3 linked regions of the Saccharomyces cerevisiae S288C genome follow. The gene in region 1 interacts genetically with each later gene. Each region holds a gene or a part of one and is shown on either strand. Other genes may lie near its edges.

Region 1 (8,742 bases):
AGGAATTATCATATGGATTACGTGGAAGAACAAAAAACTGGCGAGGACTGGATGAGTGTAATTTTTCTATATAAGTTAAAAAAGGGATTGACTTATAATAGTTATGGGATGAATGTGGCGAAATTGGCACGCCTGGACAAAGATATTATAAATCGGGCATTCAGTATTTCAGAAGAATTGCGGAAGGAATCCATTAACGAAGACGCGTTGAAATTATTCAGCTCTTTGAAAAGAATATTAAAAAGTGATAATATAACAGCAACGGATAAACTCGCGAAATTACTATCATTGGATATCCACTGATGCGGATGGTACGTATGTTCTAAATGCAGCATTATCAGACAATAAATGATATTATATTTTTCATTCACTTTCTCGTTTTTGAATTGTTCCTTTGTTTATTTGTTTACTTTTAAATAATTTTTTACATTTTTATCATAAGATAAATTGAGAGAAACAATACAGAAATTTGGCCATGGGTTTATCTTTCTGTAAACATGTTATAGTTCAGGTATGATGTCTTTAAAGAAACTTCTATGTGAGCTGTTATGCCTTGGCCTTGTACAAGTTGCTTTGTATAGAATTTTTCCGTAGGTATAATTTTCAGAGTAGGTTAAGATATTGTGATCTTTCTTCGTTAAACTCATAGAATTAAAATCATGGAATGGATCAGCCTCATCAATTTCATCATCGTTTGCAACTTTCTCACAGAACATTTTGGTTTCCTGTTCACTCACTGAGTTCCTTTTCGGGTGTTTATTGCAAGACAATATAAAAGGAAGTTCGCAGCCGTTATCATTTAATGCAGGTATTAGAGGGGGGTCTTGGTTTCTTAAGAACGACCACTGAACTTTTTTGAAGAAGGGATGTCTCTTTATGTCTGCAGCTCCTGATTTGGAACCAAGCCTTTTTGCCTCGTTTTTGTTTAGTAGTTTCTTTATCAGGTCTTTACAATTCTTCGAAACTTCCTTATCATGTGGAAATTTGACGTCCTTGGTTAAAATGTTAGAGAATGTTTCATTTGAATTATCTCCTTTAAATGGAGTACAGCCAAATAGCATCTCGTAAATCAATATTCCTAAAGTCCACCAGTCTACTGCTGCAGTGTGGCCATTCCCTCTGATTACTTCTGGAGCTAAATACTCTTCAGTACCAACAAAGGAATTAGTTCTGAATCCATCTGAACAAATTTTTGTATCTAAATACGTAGAGTCTTTCATGGTGGGTTTTTTTGATCCCGTTGCTTGGATGGATAAATCAAAGTCAGAAAGCATGACATGACCAGATTGATGCAGTAATATGTTTTCGGGTTTCAAATCTCTGTATATGAAGCCCAGTAGGTGTAAATATTCCAAAGCTGCTACTACTTCACTGGCGTAAAACTTCGCATCTTCTTCTGCAATGCATTTACTTTTTCTTGTTTGTAAGGCTCTAAAGAATTCCCCTCCCATGCAGTATTCCATACAGAGATACAAATAGTCTTTGGTTTGAAAGGAATGATACAGTGTCACAATAAATGGATGATCACTTGTCGCGAGAATTTCCTGTTCAGTGAGTACTCGTTTAATTTTCTTCCTCTTGATCATCTCATGTTTATTCAAAACTTTCAGGGCGAATATCTGGTTGGTATCGCGTTCCCTCACTAAATACACTTTACCTACGTCACCTTGGCCAAGTAGTCTAATTTTTTCGAAGGATTGAGGTTCGACAGTAATGTCTTGGAACTTGTTACCGAATGACTTGGTTCTTAAACGACGAGATCTCCTCGGTTCTACAATATCTCCCAAGCTTGGAGGTTGTTTCAAGGCAATGTAATCTTCCCGCATTAACCCATCCTTTGCCGTATTGAACGGTTCGGAAGCGGCCCTCCTTAAACGTGGTGTTATGTTCATAGGTATTTGATCCTTTCTGGTTTCGCTATTTTTCCTTGGGGAATCAATTGGTGAATTGGATAATGACAAGTTAGCCAGGGGGGAGGCACTGCCATTTTCGCTGATTTTTCTATGGAAATTTTGGAGCTCTTCATTTTCGTTAATATCATTCAAAGATCCATTACTCAGGTTTCTACTGTCCTTTGCTATATAACTTGGGGAGCTAGGAGTGTGGAAGGATGACGGGTCTGTGGGCATGTCAAAGGTAAATAACTCCGCGTCCGGAGAAGAGCTACCTGAGATCTCATTAGGTGTGGAGCATATCGCCTCATTGGGTATAAGTGTGCTACTTGTAGTACTATGGACATTTGGCTCACCGATAATGGAACTTTGTAACAGCTCTGTATGTATCGTCGACCGGGGTTCACGCTTATGCGTACCTTTTTCTGAAGTTGACGCATCTGTAGTACCACTGCTCTTTGATCTGTTATGATTAAACATTGATTTGAACTTGTTAAGTTTGGAGCTTGACCAGCTATCGTTGCATTCTACATGCAGGGGAAACGGTATGGGAAGATCTTGCTTGTTTCCATTACAAGCCATATTAATTTGTGAGCTTGGGCTTGCGGACAACGAACAAGAATTGACGTTCAAACAATTGACATTGATGTTTTTGCCAGGAGGTGCATTGTTTTGCAGAGATCTCAAATTACGAGCAAATATTTTGGGTAGCGACATGCTCCTCCCCTTGGATAAGCGTTGTGAGGGGGAACGGTATTCTTGCTGAGTCATGTGTACCAACACTGTTGAACCTTGTTTGCAGTAATCCTTAGGGCACTCAATGAATTCTTGTACGTTTCAAACATACTATAATTAAAGAAGAAGAACTTTCTCTAAAAAAACTGGGGTTATTATGTCTTATGTTACTCCTTGAACAATATAGCTGAAAGAGGGAAAAAGGAAAGTATATTTCCGAAAAAGGATGCCGAAGACGGCGCTATCATAATTATGTGTTTGAGAGGCAGTTCACGGTTACATTCTAGTTCTTCTAGCGTCTGTTGTAGTATGAAAAGTACTTTATTGAATGTCCTTGACATGTTTTCCCAGGATCCAACTTAATGCTCCTCGCACTCATGCATGGGTCGGCCACACTGGAGATAATGATATTTATCTTGATATTCTTTGAAGAGTTGAAGAGCCAGCAGGAGTTTTGGAAGGATGTGACATTCTTAGTGGTTTTGATTTTTTTTTTTCAGTTCTGGCTTGTTCTTTTGTTTCATTGATGACGAAGGATTCGTTGAAGTTGAATGCACACAAAAAAAGCTTGATAACTAGTAATATTTTCTTGGCAGTCACATATATGGAAGGTGAATTTAGAGTAGTTTCCTTATAGCCTAGCGGGCTATTACCTTGTAAATACCACACTATCAATCCTTAAATGTATTGCTAATTGGCTATTAACCTAGATGTTTAGCTATTTATTATCTGTTGTTCGCTTAGCTAGGTACTGCTTTTTATGTTGTATTTTATCGAGAAGTTTAGTGTCGCCAGTTATAAAAAAAAAATTTAAACGTAAAGAAAGGTTATCGACAAATTAACGCAATATTACATGCCCTTTTCACCGTATCATGGTATACACTGGTGCATTAGTAGTAGCATACCTTTGAAAATAAAATGAATAACACTGTGAAGACGTAATGGTGTGTTTAGGCTTCACCATGACCAATTGTAGTATAATTTGCAATTTTATCACTAGGATTGTCACTAGCACATTAAATATATATATTTATATTGGTCCTTATTTTTATGAATTTTTTTTAATCTTAGAATTACGGAGCGTTTATGGCTTCATTGACCAAATAAAATGATTGGGCTGAAAGTTTTGAAATATTTCCATGATTCACTGCGGATGCATCCTATTTACAACAGACAGAAGGAACTGACGTGTTTTTCGTGAATGAATTAGATATATATGTGAAATTATGTTTTTTGTTGTTTGAATTTTTGATTTCGAATTGGATTATTATTCTTTGTTTATCTCATCACTAATTACTTACTGCAAATGTACTTTGCCATAAAAAACTAAAAGATTGATCCTTTTATGCTCAAGCTTTGCTACTATAAGATAATTTAGATGATCTTGGCAGTAAATTTTTTTTTTTTTTTTTTTCAAATTTAGTTCTTCGTTGCCTACATTTTCTTAATTTTGTTTCCATTGCTTGTATCAAAAACTTATGAAATTACAAGCGTCAAGAAGCTGTTTATAAGAAGTAATGAAAAATTTTGAATAAAGACAACTTAACCAATAAAGAAAACCAGGTTGTGTACGATAATGCCGTTATTTTTGGTTCTGAAAGCAACATTATCAGAAAACGTGACCAAGGTTTCAATTGAGAATACAAACGAATCAAGGGCAGAATTTGCCTTCGATCTACAATGTACCAGTTGTAGAGAATTACACGATTCTAAAGTCATCATCAATACATTTGAAGAATATGCTATGCCGGCATCAAAAGGTACCGCATCTTTCTTGATGAAGTGTAAATTTTGTTCAAAAGAATTGTCAGTTAACCTGTGCGCTTTTGAGGATGAATATTTAACTGATCAGAGTGACGACAAATGGGCCAAGATAAAAGATGTGCGGAAGAAGCATGGTTTATCGAAGGTCAAAGAAGATTCTTTCATTCCTTTAAGCCTTGATTGCAGAGGTTGTGAATTAATCAAATTTTATCCCGACACCATAACGTTTGAAGTTTCTCTAAGTTCGGGGAAAGTAATGTCATGCCAACTAGAGGATAATGAATGGTATGATTATGATGACAACCTTGGGGAAGAAGTAACAATGACTGATTTCTCATCAAGCATTATTAAAGGTAAGTAAAAAGAGTGTCTGTTTATAGCATATATACGTACATATAATATATACGGGAAATTAAATGAAGTTGATCACCATTACCATTATCATAAAGAACTTACTACAGAGAAATTTTGACGCCGAACCAGCATACGTACTGACAATGGGTGTAGTAATCCAAGTTGAGGATGCAGCAGCAACAAAAGAAGTAGCAATCCCACTGGAGGAAAGTCGTTGCTCGACATAGGTCGTAGTTGTTGGCTTTGGTGCTGAAGTTATGGCCACTTTTGTTCTCGTTATTATCGTCGTTACTGATGGAATTACAGTTTGGCTGGAACTTGTTATGGTTATCAGTTCTCCATTAGTATCACTGGATGTATATGTAACTGGCTTCACTGTAGTAATTGATATAGTGGATTCAGTTGAATGCACTTCCACTGATGTTGTTGTTATGGCACTTGGGGTAATGACAGACGTCATCGTGACGTATTGAGAATTTAGCTCACTTGTAGCGGAAGCTTGGCATCCTTCTCCACTACATGCAGATATTGTAGCGCTTGATTTATACGTTTCGGATACTTTACACGAGTAACCATCACAGCTGCTAGATGTGGTTTTCTGGCACTCAGATCCAGTACATGTCATAGTATCAGTAACCGTAGATGGAGGAGTAGTGGCAGTTGAAGTCACATCGTCACAGTTGGATCCATTACAGATAGTGGATACCTCCTGTTGGCATTGTGAGTCTGTGCAAGTTAGTGTTGCGATGGAAGTAGTTGGTTGTAGAACAGAAACAGTGTCAACAGTTGGTGATATAGAAAGAGATGGCAACGATGCCAATGATGATGATGATGATGATGATGATGAAAACTGAGACATCAAAATAGACGACGAGACTGGCGATAACGACAATGATGATTTAGAGGACAATGGTAGAGAAGACGCTATGAAAGTGGAGGAAGATACTGCTGTTGCTGTTGGAAGTGTTGATGACGTAAAAGCGGGAGATGGTAAAGAAGTGGATAACAACGAAGTTGATGATGGCGAAGATGCTGATATAGAGCTAGATGATGGTAATAACGGGACAGAGGTGTGTGTTGACGTTAGTGTTGATGCAGTTGTTGTTGAGAATGATGATGATGATGATGTAGAAACAGAGGGGGAATATGCTAACGTTGAAGCAGGTGAGGATGATTGTGTTGGCACATCTTGCGTACATTCAGTACCTGAGCATACTCCTTTCGACAAATATCCAGATGAAGATTCTGATTCTGTTGAAGTGCTCAAAGAAATAGAAGTAGATGTTGCAGATGAAGCGGAAGTAATTCTAACTTTGGCTGTCGAGGAAGTTTGAGTAGTAGCACCTAAAGTCGATTTACTTGTTAATGGACACCAAGTCGTGTATACAGTCTTCAAACCACTTATGGTGGTGGTAGCAGTAGATAATGTATATTGAATAGAGGTCTGAGATAAAGATGAGGATGGTTTTGACGACGAAACAAACCTGTCAACACTGCGGGAAGATTGAGAAGAAGCAGCTACAGTAGATTTTTCTGCCAATGGACACCAAGTTGTGTACACAGTTTTGATTCCGTTGATTGTTGTAGTAGCTGTAGATAGTGAATATTGGGAAGGTGTAGAAGAAGAAGGTAAAGAGTACCCCGAAGAGAAGTTGTATGGAGAGGTAGTACTACTGGGCTTTTCATTTGTTGATATGACATTAGAAGAAGAGGACATTATTGTATTAGTTAAAACGGTATTTGACCATTGAGAGACAGATGTGGTGGAGCGTTTTTCTGAACTTGTGAATGCCAAAGGCAAACTTTGCGTACTGACAGAAAAGGTGGACATTTCTGAGGAGGCTTCTAAGGAACTTTTTTTGGTGGAGGCTAAAGAGGAACTTGACGTTGAAGAAGTTAAGTATGGAAAAGGAGTACTTCTCATTTGCACAGATGTAATAACAGTCGGTGTGCAAATCGAATTAGAACATACTTCGGTACTCATAGTTACGGTTTGATGGGATGACAATGTCACCTCTACTGCCTCCGTTTGTAGAGTTTGAGAAGAATGTCCATTAGAAGGCGTGCCTTTCGAAGTAACAACCTCGGTAATGACTGTTGGGACACATTTGGAATGGGAACATACCTCTGTACTAATAATTAGGGTTTTTCGGGAAACCACAGTAGTATTTATCATTTCAGTAGACAAAGCCGGGAAAAGTAAGCTTCCAGTAGTGGTAAAGTTTTGAGTACCGAGAGTGCTAATAGTTTCGGAAGCAGTAGAAACCTGGGATGTGGTTGAACTCTCGCTAGCAGTGGCCGTCGCAGAAGTAGCAGACACTTGAGTGCTAGTACTAGTAGCTTCGGAAGTAGCAGAAACTTGGGTATTAATAGTTACTTCAGAAGCAGCGGGATTTTTTGCACCTTCGGATACTGTAGAAGATAATACCGTAGAGCTAGAGGTTGATAAAAGGGGGATTGTAGAGCTTGTTGCAGTAACACTGGTAATAACCGTTGGAGTACACTCAGAATGAGAGCAGACTTCAGTGGTCAAAACTAATGTTTTATATGATATGGATGTCGTATAAGCAATACTTGATGCCGGGCACCACGTTGTGTATTCCGTAGCAGCACCGTTCACCGTTGTTGTGACAGTAGAAAGCACAAGCGTTTGCATTCCGCTGGTCTTTAATTGCGTAGTCGTCAATGAATAGTCTTTATTTGACGAAGTTTTGTGAATATTAGATATAACTGCGATGGTTTCGGTTGAATTTGAAGTAAAATCAGTGAGTGAGTTCACACTAGAGCTCACATGTTGGCTGGCTTCTGTTGGGTTAGATACACTAGTAGATGGATACTTGCTGGTCGATCCAAATGTAACGGTAGAGTTAGTAATGGTCGCCGTAGAGCCTTCTGAAGATGAAAAATTTGGATAAGAAGATAAGGAAGACGCAAGATTAACTTCACTGGTGCACAAATAAAAACTATCCGATGTGCCACTAAAATAGGTGGGCTCTGTGATTGAAGTACTTTCGGTCATGAGATGGGTGTTTATAGTTTCAGTCCCCTTAAATGTGGCATCAGACAATTGTAAGGTCGATATCCCCAATGTTAATATTGAAGATGGTTTAGAGGTTTGTGTGGCGCTAATCGTGGATGAACTGATCCCAATTGCTTGTGATTTGGTTTGTGTTAGAGGACACCATGTAACATATTCGGTGATCACCCCGTCAACCGTTTTGGTGGCCGTAGAAACATAAGCCGGGGATGTGGTTGACGTTACAGACCCTTGTGTATTAGTTGTGTTGATGACAACCCAAGTGGTTTGTGACAGCGGAAGAGAAGAGCTTGACCAGTCCTGGTATTGTGAACTTCCGCTTGCAGTTGATTCAGGAACGTTGTTCGAGGCAGCAAGAGTGCTGGAATTGGAGCTCAAAATAGAACTACCGCTAAATGAGGAGGCTTGTGGAACGCTAGAAATGGACGAACTGACCCCAATTGCTTGTGATTTGGTTTGTGTTAGAGGACACCATGTAACATATTCGGTGATCACCCCGTCAACCGTTTTGGTGGCCGTAGAAACATAAGCCGGGGATGTGGTTGACGTTACAGACCCTTGTGTATTAGTTGTGTTGATGACAACCCAAGTGGTTTGTGACAGCGGAAGAGAAGAGCTTGACCAGTCCTGGTATTGTGAACTTCCACTTGCAGTTGATTCAGGAACATAGTTCGAGTTCCCTTGTGTACTAAAATTGGCGGTTGAAATTCCCACAAAGCTAGATGCTGTAGAACCCACTGAACTAATGGGGTCTATTAGAGAAGTAGCCGAATCTGTACCAAATGGTGTGGAAGCAATAGAAGCAGTGAAATTAACTGTTTCACTTTTTGAGGCCCGATTTAAACTCGACAATTGTGTAGATGAATATTCACTCGTAGTTGTAAATAGAGAAGGATCTATTGAGTTTGAAGTCAAAACATCGTAGTTACCACTTGTTTTAGAGGGGGGGCTCGTAAAGTT
Region 2 (7,937 bases), on another chromosome or scaffold:
AGGTAAAGTACCCCAGCAGAACTTCACTTTACAACGCAATTGATTCATATCACTGCTCTTTTATATTGTCCTTTTTCTCTTTTAGAGCTTTTCATCCGCATCTTCTAACTTCTGTGCACCCCTTTCATTGTTGATTACATTTTACCTCAGTTACACATTTCTTTTAGCAATTCGACATTGCTTCTACTTACCGATAAATAAGCGTACATTTTTGAGTCTTGAAAGGATTCTTACATATACCTAAACAAAGAATAACAACAAAATCGCAAGCAGCAAAGCATGTCTGAGACTCTGCCTAGATCTGATGATTTAGAGGCCACTTGGAACTTTATAGAGCCAGGAATTAACCAAATACTGGGTAATGAGAAAAACCAAGCATCCACGTCTAAGCGAGTTTACAAAATTCTTTCTCCAACCATGTATATGGAAGTCTATACCGCAATTTATAACTACTGTGTGAACAAATCACGCTCGTCTGGACATTTTAGTACTGACAGTAGAACTGGCCAATCAACAATTTTGGTTGGCAGTGAGATTTACGAAAAGTTAAAGAATTATTTGAAGAATTACATTTTAAATTTTAAGCAGTCTAATTCAGAGACCTTTTTGCAGTTTTACGTCAAGCGCTGGAAAAGGTTTACAATAGGTGCCATTTTTTTAAACCATGCATTCGATTATATGAATAGATATTGGGTTCAAAAGGAAAGAAGTGACGGCAAAAGGCATATTTTTGATGTAAACACCTTGTGCTTGATGACATGGAAAGAAGTCATGTTTGATCCGAGTAAAGATGTTTTAATAAACGAATTATTAGACCAGGTAACCTTGGGAAGGGAGGGGCAAATAATTCAAAGAAGTAATATTAGCACTGCCATAAAGTCTTTAGTTGCACTAGGTATCGATCCACAGGATTTGAAAAAGTTGAACCTAAATGTCTACATCCAAGTTTTCGAAAAGCCATTTTTAAAGAAGACTCAGGAGTACTACACGCAATATACAAACGATTATTTAGAGAAACACTCGGTAACTGAGTATATTTTTGAAGCACATGAAATCATCAAACGTGAGGAAAAAGCAATGACAATATATTGGGATGATCATACAAAAAAACCACTATCCATGGCATTAAACAAGGTCTTGATCACAGACCATATTGAAAAGTTGGAAAATGAGTTTGTTGTCCTTCTGGATGCCAGAGATATTGAAAAAATTACTTCTTTGTACGCACTAATACGCAGAGACTTTACATTAATCCCAAGAATGGCTTCAGTGTTTGAAAATTATGTTAAAAAGACAGGTGAGAATGAAATTTCGAGTCTACTGGCAATGCATAAACACAATATTATGAAAAACGAAAACGCAAACCCTAAAAAACTAGCACTAATGACAGCTCACTCCCTTTCTCCTAAAGACTATATCAAGAAATTACTGGAAGTACACGATATATTCTCTAAGATTTTTAATGAAAGTTTCCCCGACGACATACCTTTAGCTAAAGCTCTAGATAATGCGTGTGGTGCTTTCATCAACATCAACGAGTTCGCATTACCTGCTGGATCTCCAAAAAGTGCCACCTCGAAGACTTCCGAGATGCTAGCTAAGTACAGTGATATACTATTAAAGAAGGCCACCAAACCTGAAGTGGCAAGTGACATGTCAGATGAAGATATTATAACAATATTCAAATATTTGACCGACAAAGATGCGTTCGAAACTCATTATAGAAGACTTTTCGCCAAGCGTTTAATTCATGGCACTTCAACATCAGCAGAAGACGAAGAAAATATTATTCAAAGGCTGCAAGCGGCAAATAGTATGGAATATACAGGCAAGATAACTAAAATGTTTCAAGATATTAGACTTTCCAAGATCTTGGAAGACGATTTTGCTGTCGCCCTGAAGAATGAACCAGATTACTCTAAAGCAAAATATCCAGATCTACAACCATTTGTATTGGCAGAAAATATGTGGCCATTTTCATACCAAGAAGTTGAATTTAAGCTACCCAAGGAATTGGTACCATCTCACGAAAAATTGAAGGAGTCATACAGCCAAAAGCATAATGGTAGAATATTGAAGTGGCTATGGCCATTATGTCGTGGCGAATTGAAGGCAGATATTGGAAAACCCGGCAGGATGCCGTTCAACTTTACGGTAACACTGTTTCAAATGGCAATTTTGCTACTATATAACGATGCTGATGTATTAACCTTAGAAAATATTCAAGAGGGCACGAGCTTAACCATTCAGCACATCGCAGCGGCAATGGTACCATTCATCAAATTCAAACTGATTCAACAGGTCCCACCAGGGCTAGATGCTCTCGTGAAACCTGAAACACAATTCAAGCTATCACGTCCTTATAAGGCGCTTAAGACCAATATTAATTTCGCTAGCGGAGTCAAAAACGACATTCTGCAATCGCTATCCGGTGGAGGCCACGATAATCACGGTAATAAGTTAGGAAACAAACGCTTGACGGAAGACGAAAGAATAGAAAAAGAATTGAATACAGAAAGGCAGATTTTCTTGGAAGCTTGTATTGTGAGAATAATGAAAGCGAAAAGAAATCTGCCACATACAACATTGGTCAACGAATGCATTGCGCAATCACACCAAAGGTTCAATGCAAAGGTTTCTATGGTCAAGAGAGCCATCGATAGCTTAATACAAAAGGGATACCTACAGAGGGGAGACGATGGTGAATCGTATGCTTACCTTGCTTAATCATCTTTGAAGGCTTGTGCTGATCGAACGAAGCAAATCCTACGAGTAAATACATAAGCGTATACATATATATATATATATATATATATATATATATATGTATATATATATATGTGTGTGTGTGTAATTGTGTGTATTCAACTGAACTATGAAGAGTCTTTGACCTCTTGAGAATCTCATAGTATGAAGATATGGCACTTCTCTTTCCGTTGTAACATCCTTTACCGGGCGGCTTTTCGGCCTGCTTGAGAAGAGATCAGGCTGAAATGATGAGACTGACAACAAGGATCAGTCAGTGGCAGAGTTGAAATTCCGCTGGAAATCGTCACCAGCAGCTACCAGCTCCAAGAAATCCGCGTAGAAATCACGTCGCGCAATGTGCGATAGTGGTGGAACAGCGAAAATTAGTCACTTTGCAAAGATGCCAAGCTGATCGTTCTCGTTGTGTGTGATTCTACGATATTGCGCATGAGTGGTGTTGAGCATGCGTTTGTTCGCATTTTCATGCAGTCTCTTATATACTAATATATATATGCAACAGATTTCAAAATTTATCTTTCTTCTTGTTGCGTTTAGGCCTTTATTTGCTACACATTTAAAAGTGCAACGACAACCCAAGTAATTGTATACTTTAACAAACCATGTCTGAAAATAACGAATTCCAGAGTGTCACCGAATCGACGACTGCTCCAACCACTAGTAACCCATATGGCCCAAATCCTGCGGATTATCTATCCAATGTTAAGAATTTCCAGTTGATTGATTCAACACTAAGAGAGGGTGAACAATTTGCCAACGCATTCTTCGATACTGAAAAAAAGATTGAAATTGCTAGAGCCTTGGATGATTTCGGTGTGGACTACATCGAGTTAACCTCTCCCGTAGCATCCGAACAATCAAGAAAGGACTGTGAAGCTATATGTAAACTAGGTTTAAAGGCCAAGATCCTTACACACATTCGTTGTCACATGGACGATGCCAGAGTCGCCGTAGAGACTGGTGTCGACGGTGTCGATGTTGTTATCGGCACCTCCAAATTTTTAAGACAATATTCCCACGGTAAGGATATGAACTACATCGCCAAGAGTGCTGTTGAAGTCATTGAATTTGTCAAATCCAAAGGTATTGAAATCAGATTTTCCTCTGAAGATTCCTTCAGAAGTGATCTCGTTGATCTTTTGAACATTTATAAAACCGTTGACAAGATCGGTGTAAATAGAGTCGGTATTGCCGACACAGTTGGATGTGCCAACCCAAGACAAGTATATGAACTGATCAGAACTTTGAAGAGTGTTGTCTCATGTGACATCGAATGCCATTTCCACAATGATACCGGTTGTGCCATTGCAAACGCCTACACTGCTTTGGAAGGTGGTGCCAGATTGATTGACGTCAGTGTACTGGGTATTGGTGAAAGAAACGGTATCACTCCTCTAGGTGGGCTCATGGCAAGAATGATTGTTGCCGCACCAGACTATGTCAGATCTAAATACAAGCTGCACAAGATCAGAGACATCGAAAACCTGGTCGCTGATGCTGTGGAAGTTAACATTCCATTCAACAACCCTATCACCGGGTTCTGTGCATTCACACATAAAGCAGGTATCCATGCCAAGGCCATTTTGGCTAACCCATCTACCTACGAAATCTTGGACCCTCACGATTTCGGTATGAAGAGATATATCCACTTCGCCAACAGACTAACTGGTTGGAATGCAATCAAATCAAGAGTCGACCAATTGAACTTGAATTTGACGGATGATCAAATCAAGGAAGTTACTGCTAAGATTAAGAAGCTGGGTGATGTCAGACCGCTAAATATTGATGATGTAGACTCCATTATCAAGGACTTCCATGCAGAATTGAGCACCCCACTTTTAAAACCAGTAAATAAGGGTACAGATGACGACAATATCGATATTTCCAATGGGCATGTTTCTAAAAAGGCAAAGGTCACCAAATAGTTTCATTATATATATAGTACACATATTTCAAACATACACATACTGGGCGTTATTAGGTGTTTAAGTACTGGCGATTACCGTAATAAAATTACTATTTACGTCAACTTTATTCAATAAGCTTTTTCTCCTACTCCGATGTTCAATTGAGGCGGTTGCATCTAGCTTGAAGACGGGGTATTTTAATCAATTAATTGAGATCAATGAATATTGACTCTGTGCGATTCCCCACGCTATTATACTCTCACGGAGTATTTCCGTTATGATAATGATCACTATATACGTCAAATGATCGGTTTCTATTTGCTAACTATTTCAAGCATCATTATTATCTTTTAGGGGGCGGCTGGGGAATTATTTATTATATTTAGTTCAGTCGTTCATAAGAAAATTGAGCTCTCCATTGTAGATATTAAGAAGCACTTTCACCCAGTCATCCAACCAAACACGCTATCAATATGTTAAACCGTTGCATTTCCCGTAATACCAGGCTGCCAGTAAACCTAAGAATTGCCTCTCGCTTTTATTCAGATGGTCCTCTCGGTGGTGCCGGACCTGGTAATCCTCAAGATATCTTTATCAAGAGAGAACGTGCCAAAGAGGATTATTATGCCAGACAACAAGAGAGGGAACAATTAGCACATGTGAAGGAACAACTAAAAGAACACAAGAAAAAATTAGAGAATTTAGAAAACAAAATTAATAACCTTTCAAAGTGATTGGTCATTGTTAAGGCTAAAGGTTCTGCAGACACGTTTTGTACGTAGAAAGAAGCAATCATGCCAAATCAAAATTAGGAAATGAACATCAGTGGTATTTTATAAGCCTGCACATTATATATAGTATATACGTCACGAATACAGGAACACCGTCAGTTAGAGAAACGTCGCCTCAGTTTGCTCCTCAGATATTCCTTTAAACCCATACATATCTTACACAAAACATCCGTACATCAGAAGGATTATATGAAACGCAAAAAAAAATAAAATTTTCATTTCTGCGTGTCGCGCGAAGGAGAAATCTTAGAATTGAAACTTCCGGCTAACGGTTGCTAAAACTAGTTTCCAATGTAATACCAAATAAGCATTTGATGTTGAATCTGTAAGCCCCTTCGTGATATTTCAAGGTTAAATTACGAATTGCAGTTTCAGTTAATCTTGGACTAACAAAGAAATCAAACAACTAAGAAGAAAATGTCTGACTCTATTATTTCCTTTGCTGCTTTCATCCTAGCTGATGCTGGTTTGGAAATCACCTCTGACAACTTATTGACTATCACCAAGGCCGCTGGTGCTAATGTCGACAACGTATGTACAAAAATGCAACCTAAAACGACTTTGTGTGACTACGAAGAGAAAGATTAGACAACAATCGTCCCGAGAAATGCGCAATTTTGAATAATGGGGGACAGAAAAATTCCATGTAACGTTTCCCTCTAACATGATGAGATACTAGGGGGCAATACATGTAGAAATATTTCTCCATTAACGTATTTAACGGAAAGCACAAGTCAGGATCGAATTACTTCTTCAAGGATCTCATTTTACTAACAAACTCAACGAATAACGACTCTTCCTATGGAGCTTGTTATATGTATCATTGAATTAGGTCTGGGCTGATGTTTACGCTAAGGCTTTGGAAGGTAAGGACTTGAAGGAAATCCTATCTGGTTTCCATAACGCTGGCCCTGTTGCTGGTGCTGGTGCTGCTTCTGGCGCTGCCGCTGCTGGTGGTGACGCTGCTGCTGAAGAAGAAAAAGAAGAAGAAGCTGCTGAAGAATCTGACGACGACATGGGTTTCGGTTTATTCGACTAAACATACAAGGAAAGTCATTTTTTCTGCAACGTTTTTTTACCCTTTATGTATATATATTTACATATAAAATAAACCTCTAATCAATCAGTATTTAAAAATCGGAAGTAATGTCCATACGAAAGGGCTACGAGAATTTAACCATCTCGTTCTTTGCTAGAAATGGCACTGCGGGATAGCCCCTGGTTGCGGGATATCAGACCTGTCGTCACCATAGCAACCAAAAATTACATAAACCCATGGTTGCTCGCCCTTTGATGGCGACGCCGACCGAAGCTTCTCCCGCGCACATTTTTAAAATTTTTACTCATCGGGAATGAAAGGTTCTTTGACACATGTAAAGCTCCCTAAGTTGGACATACGTCGGTCCTTACAGGCTTAGCAATACACCTATAAGGCACTAGAAACGTATAAAATTTGAGCACTTTAGTTTCTCATCCCTTTTGATACGAAACGCGGGCAAGGCTACGGCATACAGGAATTTAACATTTTGTTGGCTATGGAGCTAAGAAGTAGACGGAGCGCAGAGGCCTATCTTGTCACGCCTGAGGAACCTGCCAAGAATAAGAGTGAACGGAGCATAGAATCCAATGAGAGGGTCGGCACGAGGGAAGCAAAGAGCGAGAACACAAGTGTATTTAGTCCCGCTTACTCTGATACCGCTACTACAGATTCATCGAAGAAAGTTGATGACAATGAATACTACAATTTTACTAGTCACTTCATGCCATCTTTGAAAAACACCAGAGAACTAGAAAACACAATTCTCAATCTCATACAGAGGATAAAGGAAGGGGATGATGAAACGTTAGTTAGTGAGAAAGATCTCATATTAAGTGTGCTTAACAGGTCTTTAGCATCCACATCTCACTGGAAGTTACAGGCCCAGCTATCGGAGTTAAGGGCCACCTCAGAGGGAAGGTATGCAGTTGAGACAAACTTGTTGAAAAAAGAGGTAGAATTTTTAAAAAACAAGACCCCAAAAACCAACGAAAGTGCAAGTTCCGCAGAGTTGAGACCACTTCTTGAACGACCTTTAAAGCGTAAACTGTCATTGCCAGGACTAGCGCAAAGACCATTATCCACTGGCGCTAGGCTAGAAGGAGGATATGGAGGTGTATCGCCGAACTCATGGAAAACCAAAGTTCCAAAACTTCCTCTTCCTGCTTCCCGGCCGTCTTTGAATCTTTCTCCCCAAAAAGTCCCAACGGGTACTGATAAAGTTGAGGAAGATACCAAAATTGACACATTGGAATTAGTAGAGAACAATAAACCGCATCCAAGGATGAGAAGAAGGAGTGACAATCCAGCAACAAACGAATATGTGAGAGTTTTTCATTTGGAGAAAAAAGAACCTAAATCACGAAAAAAATAGTATGCTAGAAAAAAATATTATTGAACGTCAATAATTTTTCTTTCTCATGGGACCAAACACAT
Region 3 (6,709 bases), on another chromosome or scaffold:
TACGAAAACTTTACCAAACATTAACACTTCACACTCGATCTTCTTCGTTTTGCTGCTTATATGGTACTTGCTGAACGACGCGATGATCCTTTTGTTTTGTTTTCTGAATGCTCGTGTACCCCACTTTCCCTATTGTTCTCTTGTTTCGTGTCCTTGCTTCCTCGGACTGCGCATTTCAACATGACACAAAAAAAAAAGAAAAGAAGGAAAAAAATCATAGTAGAAACTGAGGAATTTTATACTCGTCTTATTTAGAATCGGATAGGTCAAACTCTGTCAGGGGAATAGAGTTCTCTTCGTCGTCAATTATTGGGGTTAGGTCCTTGGCAGTTGTTTCATTGTTTGCCGCCCTTATCCTTATTACCCACAACGTGGCACTTATGATGATTATCATACCAATCCACGACCAGATATTTGGCCAATGCTTGTACAGTGCAACGTCCCAGAAAACCGCATATAGTAGTTGTGTGTATGTCATCAAAGACCCTCTTCCAGCACGTTCTCTTTGGATACCCATAGTTAATAGCAGCTGGAAGATAAAGCCGGACACACCCAGATTACCAAACAGTATCCATTGTTTTTTGGAATGTGGTATCTGGAATTTCATTGAAGGGATAGTGTTAATCCCAATGAAAGACACTATCGCTGTGATCAAAGAAAAATAACTCACACTCATTATAGCGTGAGCCCTCTTACCAATATAACGAATAATGATGTAGACGCAACTCATCCCTAAAACACCCCACAACCCAACCAAAGTGGCAATCAATCTCGATTTTGGGTCCGATGATTCTACTATTTGAGAGGAAGAGTCGGTCAATTCGGGAGTTCCAAATAAAAATGAAGGCCTTACAATTAACACCACGCCCAGCAATGAGATCAGCGAACCGAGCGCTTCCACTTTGGTGAATCTTTCCCTCAGGATAACCCACGACAGGAATATTGTTAGTGATGGTGCCAAAAAAGTGATCAAAACGGCATCACTAATCGTCAAGTACATTAACGAATAATACATTCCAAAGACACCGAAAAATCCAGTGCAACCTCTCAATACTAACCATTTGCGTACTTCAGGTTTACCAAATGGTACATCCGAAATTGTGCTCTTATTAATATACATGTATATCAATGTACCAATATATGTTATTACCATTCTAACTAATAAGATTTGCAATGGCTTGATCTGTCTATCATTGGCAATATCATCGGGGTCGTTTTCTAAGACTTTAGTAGACACCACCATGGCCGAGTTGAAGAAATATGATACTGTCAAGAGAACAAGCCCAATATTTGGTTTCAAATAATCTTTACTTATTCTTTGCAGCGTTGTTTCGTTGCCATCGACGTTAAAGTCTTCATTGCTGTTTGACTCTTTCGGTGAAAGTGATCTCGTAGTAGACGGTAGTTGCAAACTCGTATCATTCATTTCTTTAGAAACTAGTAGGTGTGTATTGTTTTCTCTTTTCATAACCTTCGGTACTGATGGATTCATTTTCTTATCTCTATCTATTTTCTTCACCACAGCAACAACAAATTCATGCCTACGAAAACTTAAGAAGGAAAAAAAAGGAATTTTACTGAAATAAGAAAAATTCTAAAGTAGATCAAAGAACATCTCGCTTTCCAATTCCACATCTTTGTCCAAAATATCCAACTACCATTCGCACCATTCTGCGATCTTTGGAAGGGCCCTTAGGAGCCCTATCCCTTACCGTTAGCCGGTATCTTTTTACCAAATTAAGGTGCATTTCCTAGTTAGGAAAATGCCTCATGACGGTATCTGGGGTCTCTACGTCAAGTAAATATATGTCAATATATCGATGTGTCGGCAGACTTGCTGGCTTGCGCGAGTTAATGAAGTAATAGAACAAGCTTTCTGTAATCATCCCGTCACTTATGCTTTTGTACATATCGTGTCATACTGCGACTGTCTCAAGGAAATACCATGATAAAATATCTCTTACAATCGAAAAATCTAGCACGTGGGAGGGTAAGCATAAACTACCCAGAAACGCATGTATGGACTGCATTTGCTTCCTGACCAAAATAAGTATTATCGTCATATAAAAAACGTGCATAGTATATGTAACATCAATGATGCTGGGCGTTGTTTGCCATTTTGTATTTACTATGGCAGTGTATTTTGTAACGAGCACGTGATTTACAGGGCGCAGAAATGTTGAAAATTTAGAAAAAAGTAAGATAAGCAATATCAGTGGCACCATTGAGCTAGTCTCTAACAGCGGGGTGAGAAGCTATTTTTGATAGGAGAATACCTTCAATATCATTTTTACTATTTATCATGCCTTTAGAATCTATATGGGCCGATGCCCCTGACGAAGAACCAATAAAGAAGCAGAAACCAAGTCACAAGCGGAGTAATAACAATAAAAAGAATAATAATAGCAGGTGGAGTAATGAATCAAGTTCAAACAATAAGAAAAAAGATTCTGTAAACAAAGTGAAGAATAACAAAGGTAACCACGAAAGTAAAACGAAAAATAAAATAAAGGAAACTCTTCCCAGAGAAAAGAAGCCGCCTCATAGTCAGGGCAAAATATCGCCTGTAAGTGAATCATTGGCGATAAATCCTTTCTCCCAAAAAGCAACAGAGATATCTCCTCCACCAGTTTCACCTAGCAAGATGAAAACTACCAAAACACAATCCAAACAGGATACCGCTTCTAAGATGAAGTTATTAAAAAAGAAAATTGAAGAGCAGAGGGAAATATTGCAAAAGACTCATCACAAGAATCAACAGCAACAAGTGTTGATGGATTTTCTGAACGATGAAGGGAGCTCCAACTGGGTTGACGATGATGAAGAGGAGCTTATCCTTCAACGTTTGAAGACCTCTTTGAAAATATGATCCCTCCCATCACATGGACACTTTTAAGCACGTTTTGCTTGAAGAGACATTAGTTTACACCATTATAATTGTTTAATAAATACTAGACATACTTCAAGTGAGAAAATCAATCACACCTTTTTCAATGATTAGCAAATCTTTATTGCCAGGCCTAACTGAAACGATTTATTACTGCGCAAGAAAACAAAGATGGAAAAGGCTATGCTAGTTCGATTAGTTGTTTCCTTATTCTTTAGAATATTATATATGTATATATAAATAAATGGCTTTCATCTTATTTCGAATAAAAATGTTTTGGGTGATGTGTATTGAGCATACACACTTAATATCAAAGAACAATTATAAAGATGCTATGAACGGATGTTATTTTTACCTAACTATGCCTTCTTGGCTTTGATACCTCTAATAGCATTTGGAATGTATAGAAGTGGTGTAACGACGGCTACCGCAAAAATAGCATAAAATGGATACAGGTATAAAGCTGACCTTGGATGTCTCCACCATAGAGGTTTAGTGGAAGATTGGAAGATTTTCTGTAGTTGAATAACTTTATTAGCCATTATTTATTATTGTTTTGCTTTCTGTACTTGTTGGTTTAGAATCTTATATCGAGTTCTACTATTCATGGGATGAATAAATAATATCATCTTTTATTTCTATCCGCCTTTTCAAACCTGCCCCTACCAGGCCGGATTTCTCGGACGATGCGCGGCGTAGCCAATCAAGTACTGCCTTTTTTTTTTTTTGCTGACACTATATGTATACGTGCATATAATCAAACAATAAAGCAATTGTAAGCGTCAGCAATTCTAGCTGTACTAAGATCGTAGTGATTATATGCGCTTATATTTACATGGTATGAAGAATAAAATTTGAATAAATAAATAAACGTACTCTTTACGAGTACAAATCTCAAAACTAAAAGAAAAAAAGGGTTACATCTTGTTTCCAAATAGCGTCTATAGAAATGTAGGGTATAAGTTGATGCAAAGGTTTTTAGCGGTGTGTATGACACACAAATATTTACACGTGAGAGAAAGGAAGGTAAATAACTGAAAAGATTACTCCTCCTCCTTTTTATTCTCTTCAAAAAGCTTCATTTTCCTTTCATTTTGCTCCAACTTTAATAGTGAAATCTCTTCATCAAACCATTCTTTTAAGAAAAGTGTTAACTTTCTCATATTCTCAAGCCCCTGGTATTTATAGTCCACATATCTAAGTACTAACTCGTCAATGCGATCCTTTATCTCCTTGTTATCAATGGAAGCAGCAGTTGAAATGTAAGCAGGCCTTTTCTCAAAATATTTCATAAAGCCTTTGATTTGTCTAATGCAACCTGGAGTAATCAGGCTTGCCCTATGATTACAATTCCAGTCTTTTAAAATCCTACTAAACCGTTCGCTTTCATGCATTCTTGACGCCAACTTTAAAGATGTCATGTAATACATCATCCACTGTTTGTTATTTGAAGTATCCAAATTTTTTCTAGCTTGTGAAATTAGGTAACATGCATATTTGAAATCACGGGTGTGGAAACATATTTGAGTAAGTTGTAAATAGTTTTGAACTGAAAGCTCCTTTTGATGTACTCGTTCAAATTCCTTCAGTTTGAATTCCAGTTCTTTTAAATGTTCAGCAGACAACTTTTCAAAAGATCTATAATTAGAAATGATCTCCCATTTCAACCATAATATATCGACTTTTAGTGGGATATAGCGGAATCTGGTCCTTAATATCACATCAACTACACGTGCCAAACCAGTTAAAGAGTTTCTCAAGCATAATGCCAAAACGGAATACAAAAATGAAAATTGAGGCGCAATGCCCTCCTTCAAACTATTCGAAATCACCAATTCTGCTCCATATACATCATTGTGAGAAACTTTTTTCTTGAACTCTTCAAACCTTTCAAAATCAACCGCGTTGAAACCAGATAACGAAGAGTCTTCTCCTCCATTGATCTTTCTCGTATGGATATGGGCATTTTCTTGTAAAAATGTGTACACCCAAGTGAGACATTTGCTGTATTGGCTCCTTTTTAGAGTCACAAGTAGGTCATTTGTAATTTCTTTTGCCAGCATTGGATAAACATTTACGGCACATGACCATAATTGTTGAATAAATGCGGGCCGTAATCGCGTTTTACCATCAGTGGTTTTAACTACACTGCGATAATATTTGAAAAGTCCTTCGAATTGATTGGTGTTGACAAAATACCTAGAAATGCACAAATGAAACGAACCGTCTATGCTAATATCATTATCTCTCTGGATTTTTTCCAAGATTACTTTTAAATTCTCGAAATTGTTAGTAGAGACGTACGCTTGAACCACTGACATATATAGCTCTTTTCGTGTTGAAATATTATTATTAAGTCTGGTAATAAATTTATCAACTCTTTCCATCAATATTGAGTCATCAATGCTTTTTGTTCTGTCTCCTTTGATGCAATACAGAGAATGACAAAATTCAATCAACTCAAACTGCACACTTGATGTATATCCCGTACTTAAAACAACGGGATTGGTTAAAAAATCGTTTAGCTCATCTGTATTAGAAAAACGTAATAACATTCTGTGTATTATCGCGAGGGTTTTGAACGAGGGAAGGTTAGTTGAAGAGGATTGCTCATCACCACATTTCACTTTCAACCAGAGATAAAAGATGTGTTTCATACTGGACATATCTAGATATCTTTCCATACATCGGAGAAACTCAAAAAGCTGCTTTTCAGTTATTGGAAATGTATCAGGATTGGTAATTGCTTGCGTGTAAAATTCCACCGCTAGTTGAGTGTTATTACTCCTTATGAAAGAGTTTAATCCTAAAGATATCATTTGTGGCTTTACTTTGCAATATTTGATATATTCTGCAAATAAAGTTTCACAGACATCAAAATGATGTAAATTATGCTGTACTACCAACATAATTTCGATGAACTGACCATATGTGCCTTTATCAGTGTGGCTTGCTAATAAGGGCGTGAATTGCTCATATGTTGTGTATATTTGTCCAATATCGTAGTCCCTTTTCAAAAAGTGAAGAGAATTTATTAAGATCAGTAATTGCTGTATTGAAAACAAAACCTTTTGGTTAGTGGAAAGGCTAATTATTGTCATCAAAATATCTGGATCTGCACTTTCGAATTTTTGCTTCCACAATATTCCAAAATCTTTGTCTTTCACTATATTATATTGATTCTTAAGAATATCTAAGCTGCTGGGGCTTTTGGTAATGGAGTCCATCCAATCGAGTTTATTCCGAGACTCATACACACCGCTTATTGTTGAAGAATCTTTTAGTTGCGCTTTAACCCAATCCTCAATATCTTCCTTATGCTTTTTTTTGATCAACTCAGTTGAGTAATATCGTACTTTAAAGAAAACAGTGTGCATAACCTTGTTTGATTCTCTGTGAAGTAATCTCTTTATACCACTGGAGGATATAAATCTCCGTTGTAACATTAAGTTCTCGTAAGCAATTGTTTAAATTTAATAGGTAGTGATAAAAAATTTGACGATATCAAAGTTGTGGTGTAATTAATAGAATACATGAAAAGTTATGATCAACATAAAAATGCTCTATACCAGATAGAATTTTATAAAAAAGGAAGAGAATAAAACGATAATAAAAGGAAAGACAGGTTAAACGATTGGAATGGGGTCTTCAAGTTACAAATCTAGAGGAAAGTGTAGACCTAGTGCAGCAATTGTAAATTTTGAACCTTTCTGTGGGGGGAGGGGTTTCTCAAAGTATCAGATAGTATTATGCACGGTAAATAAAGCCTAACAACAAGAAGTCCAAACAATAAATAACAACCGTTTCTGATCCTTGGATCGT

The links. A genetic interaction does not mean that the proteins touch.
Region 2: mutations in KIN82 (region 1) and LYS21 together harm fitness more than expected from each alone (negative genetic interaction), as found in Saccharomyces cerevisiae (3 studies listed by BioGRID).
Region 3: mutations in KIN82 (region 1) and COX7 together harm fitness more than expected from each alone (negative genetic interaction), as found in Saccharomyces cerevisiae (3 studies listed by BioGRID).

The regions. Positions count from the first base shown.
Region 1 is NC_001135.5:268,325-277,066, reverse strand, and holds KIN82 (putative serine/threonine protein kinase KIN82), read right to left. Parts: upstream 2,664-8,742; coding exon 501-2,663; downstream 1-500. Other genes in the region: mismatch repair protein MSH3, read left to right, coding at 1-303; YCR090C (uncharacterized protein), read left to right, coding at 4,204-4,752; FIG2 (Fig2p), read right to left, coding at 4,804-8,742. UniProt on the Saccharomyces cerevisiae protein: Flippase activator that phosphorylates DFN1 and DFN2 and which is involved in the generation of phospholipid asymmetry in membranes by the inward translocation of phospholipids.
Region 2 is NC_001136.10:224,025-231,961, forward strand, and holds LYS21 (homocitrate synthase LYS21), read left to right. Parts: upstream 1-3,368; coding exon 3,369-4,691; downstream 4,692-7,937. Other genes in the region: cullin CDC53, read left to right, coding at 280-2,727; STF1 (ATPase-binding protein), read left to right, coding at 5,147-5,407; ribosomal protein P1 RPP1B, read left to right, coding at 5,882-5,995, 6,297-6,503; YDL129W (uncharacterized protein), read left to right, coding at 7,000-7,875. UniProt on the Saccharomyces cerevisiae protein: Catalyzes the aldol-type condensation of 2-oxoglutarate with acetyl-CoA to yield homocitrate. Carries out the first step of the alpha-aminoadipate (AAA) lysine biosynthesis pathway.
Region 3 is NC_001145.3:775,699-782,407, forward strand, and holds COX7 (cytochrome c oxidase subunit VII), read right to left. Parts: upstream 3,430-6,709; coding exon 3,247-3,429; downstream 1-3,246. Other genes in the region: MLO1 (Mlo1p), read right to left, coding at 1-21; YMR253C (uncharacterized protein), read right to left, coding at 248-1,492; YMR254C (uncharacterized protein), read right to left, coding at 1,917-2,225; GFD1 (Gfd1p), read left to right, coding at 2,303-2,869; PET111 (Pet111p), read right to left, coding at 3,931-6,333. UniProt on the Saccharomyces cerevisiae protein: Component of the cytochrome c oxidase, the last enzyme in the mitochondrial electron transport chain which drives oxidative phosphorylation.